Linked DNA regions of Arabidopsis thaliana. The protein of the gene in region 2 interacts with the protein of the main gene of each other region in a pairwise test. Each region holds a gene or a part of one and is shown on either strand. Other genes may lie near its edges. The genes, in order: ABCG16 and AT5G09995.

The links.
Region 1: the proteins of AT5G09995 (region 2) and ABCG16 interact in a protein complementation assay, tested with the Arabidopsis thaliana proteins (one large-scale study listed by BioGRID).

The regions. Positions count from the first base shown.
Region 1 is NC_003074.8:20,415,640-20,420,874, forward strand, and holds ABCG16 (ABC-2 type transporter family protein), read right to left. Parts: upstream 3,272-5,235; 5' UTR 2,914-3,271; coding exon 703-2,913; 3' UTR 544-702; downstream 1-543. Other genes in the region: AT3G55080 (SET domain-containing protein), read right to left, coding at 75-191; ABCG17 (ABC-2 type transporter family protein), read right to left, coding at 4,713-5,235.
Region 2 is NC_003076.8:3,124,470-3,128,478, forward strand, and holds AT5G09995 (uncharacterized protein), read right to left. Parts: upstream 1,910-4,009; 5' UTR 1,834-1,909; coding exon 1,519-1,833; intron 1,419-1,518; coding exon 1,368-1,418; intron 1,274-1,367; coding exon 1,140-1,273; intron 1,065-1,139; coding exon 976-1,064; intron 901-975; coding exon 716-900; 3' UTR 608-715; downstream 1-607. Other genes in the region: PROPEP5 (elicitor peptide 5 precursor), read left to right, coding at 154-288, 382-507; FD4 (ferredoxin 4), read left to right, coding at 2,240-2,686; AT5G10010 (myosin-H heavy protein), read left to right, coding at 3,629-4,009.

The DNA.
Region 1 (5,235 bases), on a different chromosome or scaffold from region 2:
TAATCAAGCTGTGAACAGTCCATCACATTGATTTCACAAATTTCACGAAAGTCTCAATCTTTCACAAATCAAACCTGAGTTTGGAGCTCTAACGTTAGTTTCCCGGCGAGACTGAAACGCTTGGCTAAAGAGCTAACATTGCGCCTTTGTTGAAACCCGAAAAGCTTCACTGTCGAAATGCAGAATAGCATCTCCAGCCAAACTGGATGGCGCGTGAGCAACCACCGCTCGTATTATGGACTCGTGTTTCGACTGCGGCTAGAGCAGAGCGGCCAGGACCAGACGATATTCTGATGCTGATTCGGTCCGGTTTGTTTCGGTTTTAAATTTCAGATAAATCGGTTTGTTTTTAATTGATTTTGTAGATAGCCTTCCAATTTTGACTTTTTGATACCTTACAAAGTGAAATGGCTTTGAGAGTTACTTGCCTCTAGCAACAGTGTCTGTGTCTCCTCATTTTTCTTCCACAATCTCAATGCCTCTATTTGAAATGTTGCATTAATTTTCTGAGTAAAAGCGATTCATAGGTGCTTTTTGTATTTCCAATTTCCTAAAGAATGATATTTTTTTTATTGATGGCAAAAGTAATACAAATGTTAAAAAGAATACAATTCAAATACACAATCAATCTACGAATTACAAGTAATGAAAAAGAATTACAATATATGTTTTTGGTTTTAGGTATCATCAGTAGTTTCAGTTTCACCTCCTCTTGTTTTTGCTCCCAAGCAACAAACACAAGTAAAACAAAATCCTAAATAGGAATCCGAAACCTACCGTGATAAGCAAGCAGTTCCATTTACTAAGCTGTGTCACTCCTTGCTGCTTCAGAACATCAGCACCCGTCGTTAAACACGTAGAGCTCGATATCCTCATACCTATCGACCGGCTCACAGAATCCAAAAGCCTCAGCTTCATCCCATACGTCAATTCTCCCAAAGGCGAGTTGTCGAAAAGCTGAACACCTCTCACAAAACATTCTGTAGGATCCGAGAACTCGTTCTGAAGAACCGCCTCGTATGGATACTTAACCAGAGAAAGATAATGAAACCAAATCCAATACTGAGGGATTCGATCTCTGTTGATGAAGAAGCCACTGAAAAGCAAGAAGTAAGCTAAAATAGCAACAACGATCGTGTAGCCTAACATCACATGTGGAACGACGCCGGATAAGAAAGTCACGAAGGAGCTTCCGGACCAGAAAGAGGCTAAGATGATTAAGCAGTAGAATAAAAAGCCCATTAGGCCTCCTTCAAGCCCAACAGCCCAAAACGTCGTCACTGCGAAAGCTAAAGAGAGGAAGATGAGCGAAGGGAAGGTAACAATGGCGTGAGAGAGAACGTAGGAGGATCTCCGGTAAGCGTTGTAAGCTGTTTCTCTCATGAAGATGTAACGTTCCTGGAGGAACACGGGAAGAGCATCGGCGCAAGTGTAGAACATTGTTGACATTGCGAATGCGAAGAACCCTAACCGCTCTTGAACTCCTTTTGGTGAATTATCCAATCGCCAGAATACGGTGGCTAAGATGAATCCGGTGACGATTACGGTGGCTAATCGCATTCCGAGTAGCTCCGGTTGTCGTCGGGAGTTGAGGATTGAGCGTCTGGTGAGAGTTTTGATTTCGATCCAGAACGGATTCGCGAATGCAGGGACGGCTAAGGTTCCGCCACCGTGGTTTATGACGGAGGAACCACCGCCGCCACCGGAGACTAGTTTTCCTCTGCTTATGCTGGCGGAAATCGCTTCTTTCAAGGTTAAATTTGGGTTTGGAGAAGCCGGCGGAGTTAGGGTTTGAGGATTGCTCTGTTTCTTCATCTCTTGCCATTTCTTGTTGAATTCAACTAATCCTCTTGTTCCTCCAGCTGATCCTTCGAGTTCTCTGATTAGATCGAGTGCAAACTCCGTTTGATTCTCGTTTTCCGGTATCGGATTACCGAACCCGGCGAAAAAGCTCGGTAGACTCGCCGGAGAACCACTAAAGACGGTGTGTCCACGTGACAAGAAGATAAGACGATCAAGTAAACTGAGAACTCTGTGACTTGGCTGATGTATTGACATTATAATGATACTGCCACTCTCTGCGATTCTCTTCAATACTTTAACCACCATGAAAGCACTTGTGGAATCTAAACCAGAAGTAGGTTCGTCGAGGAAGAGAACAATCGGGTCGTGGATGATATCGATTCCGATCGAAACTCGCCTTCTTTCTCCACCGGAGATTCCACGGTGTCCTTCGTCTCCAATGATTGTTTTAGCAGCGTTTCTTATCCCTAACTGGTCGATTAGGGCTTGAACTCGAAGCTTCTTCTTGGATTTAGGTAAGCTTCTTGGTAATCGAAACTCAGCTGCAAACATTAAGGTTTCTTCCACAGTAAGCATCGGGAAGAGAAGATCGTCTTGCATTACATAAGCTGAGATAACTTTCAGCATCCGAGATTGAAGAGCTTCTCCGTTAAGCGTTACCGTGCCCTTCAAGCTTCCTTTAGCGATCCGATTCGCTAAAGCGTCGATCAAAGTGGATTTACCTGACCCGCTAGCTCCAAGAACGGCAAGAATCTCTCCGTCACGAGTCTCACCGGAGATATTGTCTAGAAGAGTCTTGGTCTTGGAGAAAGATGTCCTCCTCCATGGAACCAGGTCGTGAAAGTCAAGTTTCCGGCGAACAGAGACGTTGTAAGTAAGGTTGTTGAAAGATAGAACGAAAGGAACAGGACGCATAAGATGATCATTATCTCCGTCAAGTGAAGAACCATCCCTGTCAAAGAATTCATGAACAGGAGTTTCGTCACCAACTTCAACCTTACGAACGTCGCTAACGTTCTTGAGAAGTTGGCCTAAAGTCAAAGATGAGCTAATAATCTCCATGGAATGAAACGGTGTTGCATTATCATCTTCTACTAGTATGCGAGACATTTAGAACAAAAGATGGTAAAGTGAGAAATGATGTGCTTACACTTGAAAATCAAAACACTCTTTGCATGATCAAAATGTTAGTCTTTGTTCTCTGTTTTGCTAGTATCTGTGTATAGGCCTTATATATATGAAGTAACGTGTGGAAGCGTGTGAACACGAAGGTTCTATGTGTTGAATGAGTTGCATCATCATGAGAAATCTGTTAGGTTTGTGTTGTTAACAATAATATTCTTAGCGTTTGGATGGAAAATGCGTTTTGGATTTCTCGTATTCAATTAGGGAGAGGTAATGGGATGACCAATAAATCTAGATTTTCCAAGGTGATAATACTAAAATACGTAGAAATGGCTGACACGTGGCGATTAGAATGGAGAATTAGGTGAAGGGTGTTGATCTAACCGAGGTATAGATAGTATATAGGATTGAGATGAGATATTTCTTGCGTTTCACATAGTGTTTGGTCAATTAATTAATGTTTTTAAAAGATTCTTCGAATGTTGGTAGCGATATAGTGATTGTTTGTATCGCAAGCAAATGTGTACCTAGATAAACTATTCACATTTTCTTTTGTTTTCGCGACCGAAGACGATTGCTTATGCTGCTAACTGCCTAAAAGTTGCAAATTGCAATAATTCCGGAACCCCAACTAATTCTACCAAATATAATATAAAAGTTATATTTGATAAAGTAGCTAGATTTGTATTTAGTTTGGGAATATAAACTCCTGTTTTTGCTATGAAAGACTACACACAATCTCCAAGTTCATTTTTTCTATTTCTTGATTATTTAGTTGGTAACGGTGGAACATTCTTTACCAAACTCAAATATTGTGTTTGGTCTTTGTTTCCTCTGTTTTATTCACAGTATACAGAAGCTGATAAAACATTCTTTTTGTTTTGTAAAGGGTGGAGTGGTGGTTTAAGAGAAATATAATAAAAATCGTCAAGTTTGTTGCTAAAATTAAACATGCATGCGAAAATTACACGAGAATCATAAAGATGGTGTCACATTTCAAATACTATTTGTTAAGAAAGTAAAAATAGTGATGTCTTTGATCCATCCAGGGAAAGAAGAAACAGATCAAAAGGTTAGGCAACTTCCTCTTAAGTAGTACTTGGTCAAACTTCTAGTGATGGACACAATGGTAACATGAAAGCAAAATTGACGTACTGGCTTAGCTTCTTGGATTTCCAATCCTAAACTTTGACTTCACTGTTACATCTTTTTGGTTGACATTTTGAAGTTTAGGTGACTAACTTCTACCTACTGTAGTCTTCCTTACCGCCATAAGAAAAGGGTCAAAGATTTATAATACCATCTAATAAAGCTTATAAGAAAGTTGGCTACTTTGAATTCTATTTTCGACCAACTGTTTAGTTGTATATACTTTTGTTTTTAAAAAGTGATGCAATTTGAATTTTGTCAAATACGTTATGTTTACACCGACCACGAAAGATGGCATATAGCTCACACGCACATTAAAACTACTAAATTACTTCACTGGTAGCTTGTGGTATCTTTATATTAGTTTGAACTTTAAACTATTGATGTAGTTCATATTGTTAAGTTAAAAACATTACCAATTGTGAATTAAACTAAAATCTTAGTCCTTTATAAAATTGTGAACCTAACATCATGTAAAATGTTAGATGTACGATTCTTTCTTTAGACAATATATGATAGCTATGAAAGAAAAAAATAATAATTATACAACATATATCATCAATATCTCAAATTCAAAAAGACAATTTTGCTTTCACAATAAAATTTCTGTTTCGGAAAAATTTACATTATGGCGTTCACGCCCTCTTATTCTTGCTTCCAAGCAACAACGAAAAATAAAACAAGATCCTAAAGAAGAATCCCCAAGCTAACGTTACCCACAAGCAACCCCATTTATCCAGCTGCTCAATTCCATGCTGCTTAAGCAAATCAGAGCCCGTCGTCAAACACGTTGATTCCGTTAACTCCATCCCCAAGTAACCGCTCATTGTCTCCAGAAGCTTAGCCTTTGTCGTTTCAGATACTCCTTCCATTATTGTATTATCAAACACTTGGTTTCCTCTCACGAAACAACGGGAGGGATCATCGAATTCGTTGTGCAGAACAGCTTCGTAGGGATACTTTAGCAGAGAAATGTAATGAATCCATATCCAATAAAGATGGATTCGATCACGGTTGACGTAGAATCCGCTGAAGAGGAGGCAGTATGAGAGATAGCCAAAGGTGACCATGTAACTCATCATCACGTTTGGAATCACACCGGAGACAAATGTAACAAACGAGCATCCTGACCAGAAGGACGCGAAGATGATCATAAGA
Region 2 (4,009 bases):
ACGGCCACTCTAAAAGATGGTGCAATGTTTTTAAAAAGAGTTGGTTATAATTCACCGCTTTATAATCACAGTTTAAGCATATGATTGATCTTTTGGTGACAAAGAAAATTTGAGGAGAAAGTCACATATAGAGGAACTTAGAAGATAGCGAAGATGCAGCAAGAGAGAGATCACAAAAGAGATTGTTGCAAGCTCATGCCTCAAACTGTCAAGGCTTTCTTCAAGTGTCTGAGATTCAGACGTTCTTCTTCTTCTTCTTCAGACATGGTGAAAGCTAGAGCAAGAAATGTAAAAACTGATCATTCTGTCTCTCCTCTGTAAACTCAAGGATACTTTCTTTCTGCTAAGCTACTATTATCTTTTTTTTTTTGTGTGTTGCAGGAAGAGAAAGAAGAACCTTCATCTATCGAAACTTCAACTAGGAGTCTCAACGTAATGAGGAAAGGGATAAGGAAACAACCAGTTAGCTCGGGAAAACGAGGTGGAGTTAACGACTACGACATGTAACTAGAATCTTGATGTAGAATTGGATAATCTTGTTTGGTAGTTACTCTACAACATACTTTCTTTGCATCTCATGAATCATCATGATATATTGATATTAATATCATAATTTCAAATCAATCAAATTACACTCTTAAGCTAGAAAGACTCAAGCGGACTCTGAAAAAGGGTAAAGAGAAAAGTGGCATCTGATTGATCACCTTCTAGGCTTCTACTGCTTAGCACGCTTTGCAAGATAACTTGTAGTGATTTTAGAGAAACGAGTGATTGTGGAGAACAATTGCCATAAAGAGCGTCCCTTAACAACACCTTCTCTAAAGCTCCTCGCTTGTTTAGCCAACATTGGTTCTGTTTCATCTGTCTTGGTTTGACGCATCACCTCCTGCATTGAAGCTACTGATGAGGTAAAAATGGAGTTAACCATGAAAGTCCATAGTTCGAATAGAAGAGTTCAGAAGTGAAAGGTCAGACCTGGATTCATGTTTGTTAACCGTCTTAGTCTATCTTCAGCTACACGAATAGCCCGTGTCGAGCTTTTAACACCTTGAGTGATACCTTGGCTACACAAACACTGAAAGAGTTACAAAACAGATATGAAGAAATTGGTAATCATCATGGTGGGATGTGAGACAAACCCTAAATCACTGAGCTCCATAGTTAAGTCACTGATCTCCATTCCCGATAAACGAACAGCAGCCATTGTATCTGGTAGCTCTTCTCTAGTTACATCCAAAAGCTTTTCAAGAGACTCAGCTGCTTTCTTGAAAGCCTTTCTCAACATTCCAAAGTAAAACTCAAATCAACCTTCAAAATCCATCAAAGGGTTGAAGAAATCTGTAAAAGCAAAATGTTGGAGAACGAACCAGAAGAGTAGGAATCGCAGCAAAGAAGAGCCACGATGCTGAAATTGCTGTCTGCAACAGAACCCATGATGATGATTGTTTACAAAGTGACATAAAGTCCAGATCTTTATTGAGCAATTTGAATCAAAACCTAAATCCAAGAGAGGCTTACCACGCAAGCGACGACATTGAGCAAGACGAAGTGCTTCTGTGTGAATGTCCATTGAGAGAGTTGGAGAGGAGGCTGTCCCACGGACGATGTTAATTGGGAAGAGATCGATGGCTCCTGAGGATTCGAGTACAATGCAGAGGGAGTAGAAGATGCGATTGAGTCTGAACCCTTGGTCAATCGTGAAATCGGTGAAGCTAGCCGGAGAGTGACCCGTCGGCGAAAGGAGAGATTTTTATCGATGAATCCGTTATGGAGAATCGGATTCCAAGAGATTAGAGATTGGGGTGATTGCAATTTCGAAGGCGAGAATAACATTGTGAATGGTTTTAGCTCTATTCGTCAGAAACCATTGTTAAGCTTCGAGTCGACGATAACAATGGATTTCAGTTGTGTCAGCGAGAAAATTTGCGTCAAGTTTAGAAACAACAATATTTCACGAAAAGTCCTCTGTTTATGCGTTAACTATTGAAAATAACCCCATTACTATCATTTGAGTTAATTTGACCTTCTTTGCGTCATATGCAAAATCGGAACACCACCACATTGGTTTGGAGGTTTGTGAGCTACAAGCCTATAAACTACACGTAGCACCTCCCTATGCACGTGTCACATGAATGATTTTAAGGGTTTGGGCTGATGTTTGAGCTATAACTACATATATACATTTGGTTTGATTCGTTTTTCTTACATTATAGTTTCATCAAAAGCCAAAGCATAATTGATGGATCAAGTACTCTACTCCTCTTACATCATAAAAATCCCTGTAATATCACGAATATCACCATCACAAGCTCAACTTACGACCAGGCTCAATAACACGACTTATTTTGGCTTGTCATCGTCGAGAGGCAATTTTGGGAAGGTGTTTGCAAAAGAGTCTCGTAAAGTGAAACTGATTAGTCCGGAAGGTGAGGAGCAAGAGATAGAAGGAAACGAAGATTGTTGCATACTTGAGTCTGCGGAGAACGCGGGACTTGAACTGCCATACTCGTGTAGGTCAGGGACTTGTGGGACATGTTGTGGAAAGTTGGTGTCAGGGAAAGTGGATCAGTCACTAGGGTCCTTTCTTGAGGAAGAGCAGATTCAAAAAGGTTACATCCTCACGTGTATCGCACTTCCACTAGAAGATTGTGTTGTTTACACTCACAAACAATCCGATCTTATATGAGTTACACATGCCTGCCTTGAACTTTTGAAATCTCAGTATTAAAATATGTATTTCAGTATTTGATGTGTTTTGATGTATTTTTATGTATTGATATCATTTTACATACGTTGATTCAAAATATTTAAATCGGATTCCACTTACAAAATCAGACTAGTAATGTATATGTGCTTCGATCATCTTTGTTCAGTAGTTGAGGCTTTTATCCCCATCATGGGTCTGTAATTGGTATCAAATATACTATATAGGCCCATTAAGGATTCGTAAGATATGGGAAATAACGTTGGGCTTTATTTCGTCACCATGGGTTTAGTTGTTGTTGTTGAGTTGTCTTTTTCGCATCTGGACGGATATTGTCCGTATGAATTTCTTAGACTATAAAGATTAAATGTAATTTCAAATTATTATTTGATATACTTAATTCAATTTTATAAATTTAATATCTTCAAAAAAGTTTGTGTCCACAATATAACAAATGTTATCAAAGCAAAAAAAAAAAAAAAAACTTCTTCTAATATAACAAATTTCCCTAAATAGCTTGCAAATTATCTGTAAACATGATGAAAATATTAAACATGATGAAAAATATTAAATTATCATATTATTCAAAAAATAATTAATTAGCCAAAAGCTATATATGAATTTTGGGCCTTACAATAATATTTTCGCAAACGGCGCCTAAATAATTTGGGGGAAAAAATCAAAAACCCTATTTCCTTTTCATGAAGAGCGCTCGTTGAAATCACGCAATAAGTAGAACACATTTGGACAAAAAGAAAAGATAAAATAAAATAAAAAACAAAACCCCCAAATTTGTGTCTCCTCCGGAAAAAAAATTCGAAATTCCGGATCCACCGCCATCAATCCCTAGCTTTCTCTCTCTTTCTCTATCTTCGCCGGCGAAACCAGTAGGGTTGCTCAATTCGTTGGTAGAGTACTGTGGCAATGAAGAAAGGAGCGAAGAGAAAGGGTGTTTCGAAAGCAGGTCGCAAAGCTGCTGTTGCGGAGACTCAGAACGATGAGGTGATAGAGGAGACGACGAAGACGACGCAGGAGGAGAGTCAACAGCATGAGGAAGAAGTCGTCGACGAGGTGAAGGAGAATGGGGAAGAAGAGGAGGCTAAGGGAGATCAAGAGGAAGAAGAGGATGCGAAACCTGATTCCTTAGAGGAGGATGAGGAGAATCAGGAAGATGAGGTCAAAGCTGAGGAAGTAAAGGAAGAAGTTGAGAAGAAACCTGTTGCTCGTCGTGGTGGTAAACGAAAGAGGGCTACGAAGAAGGATACTGAGATTAAAGATGAGAAGAAACCTGTTCCGAAAGCTAAG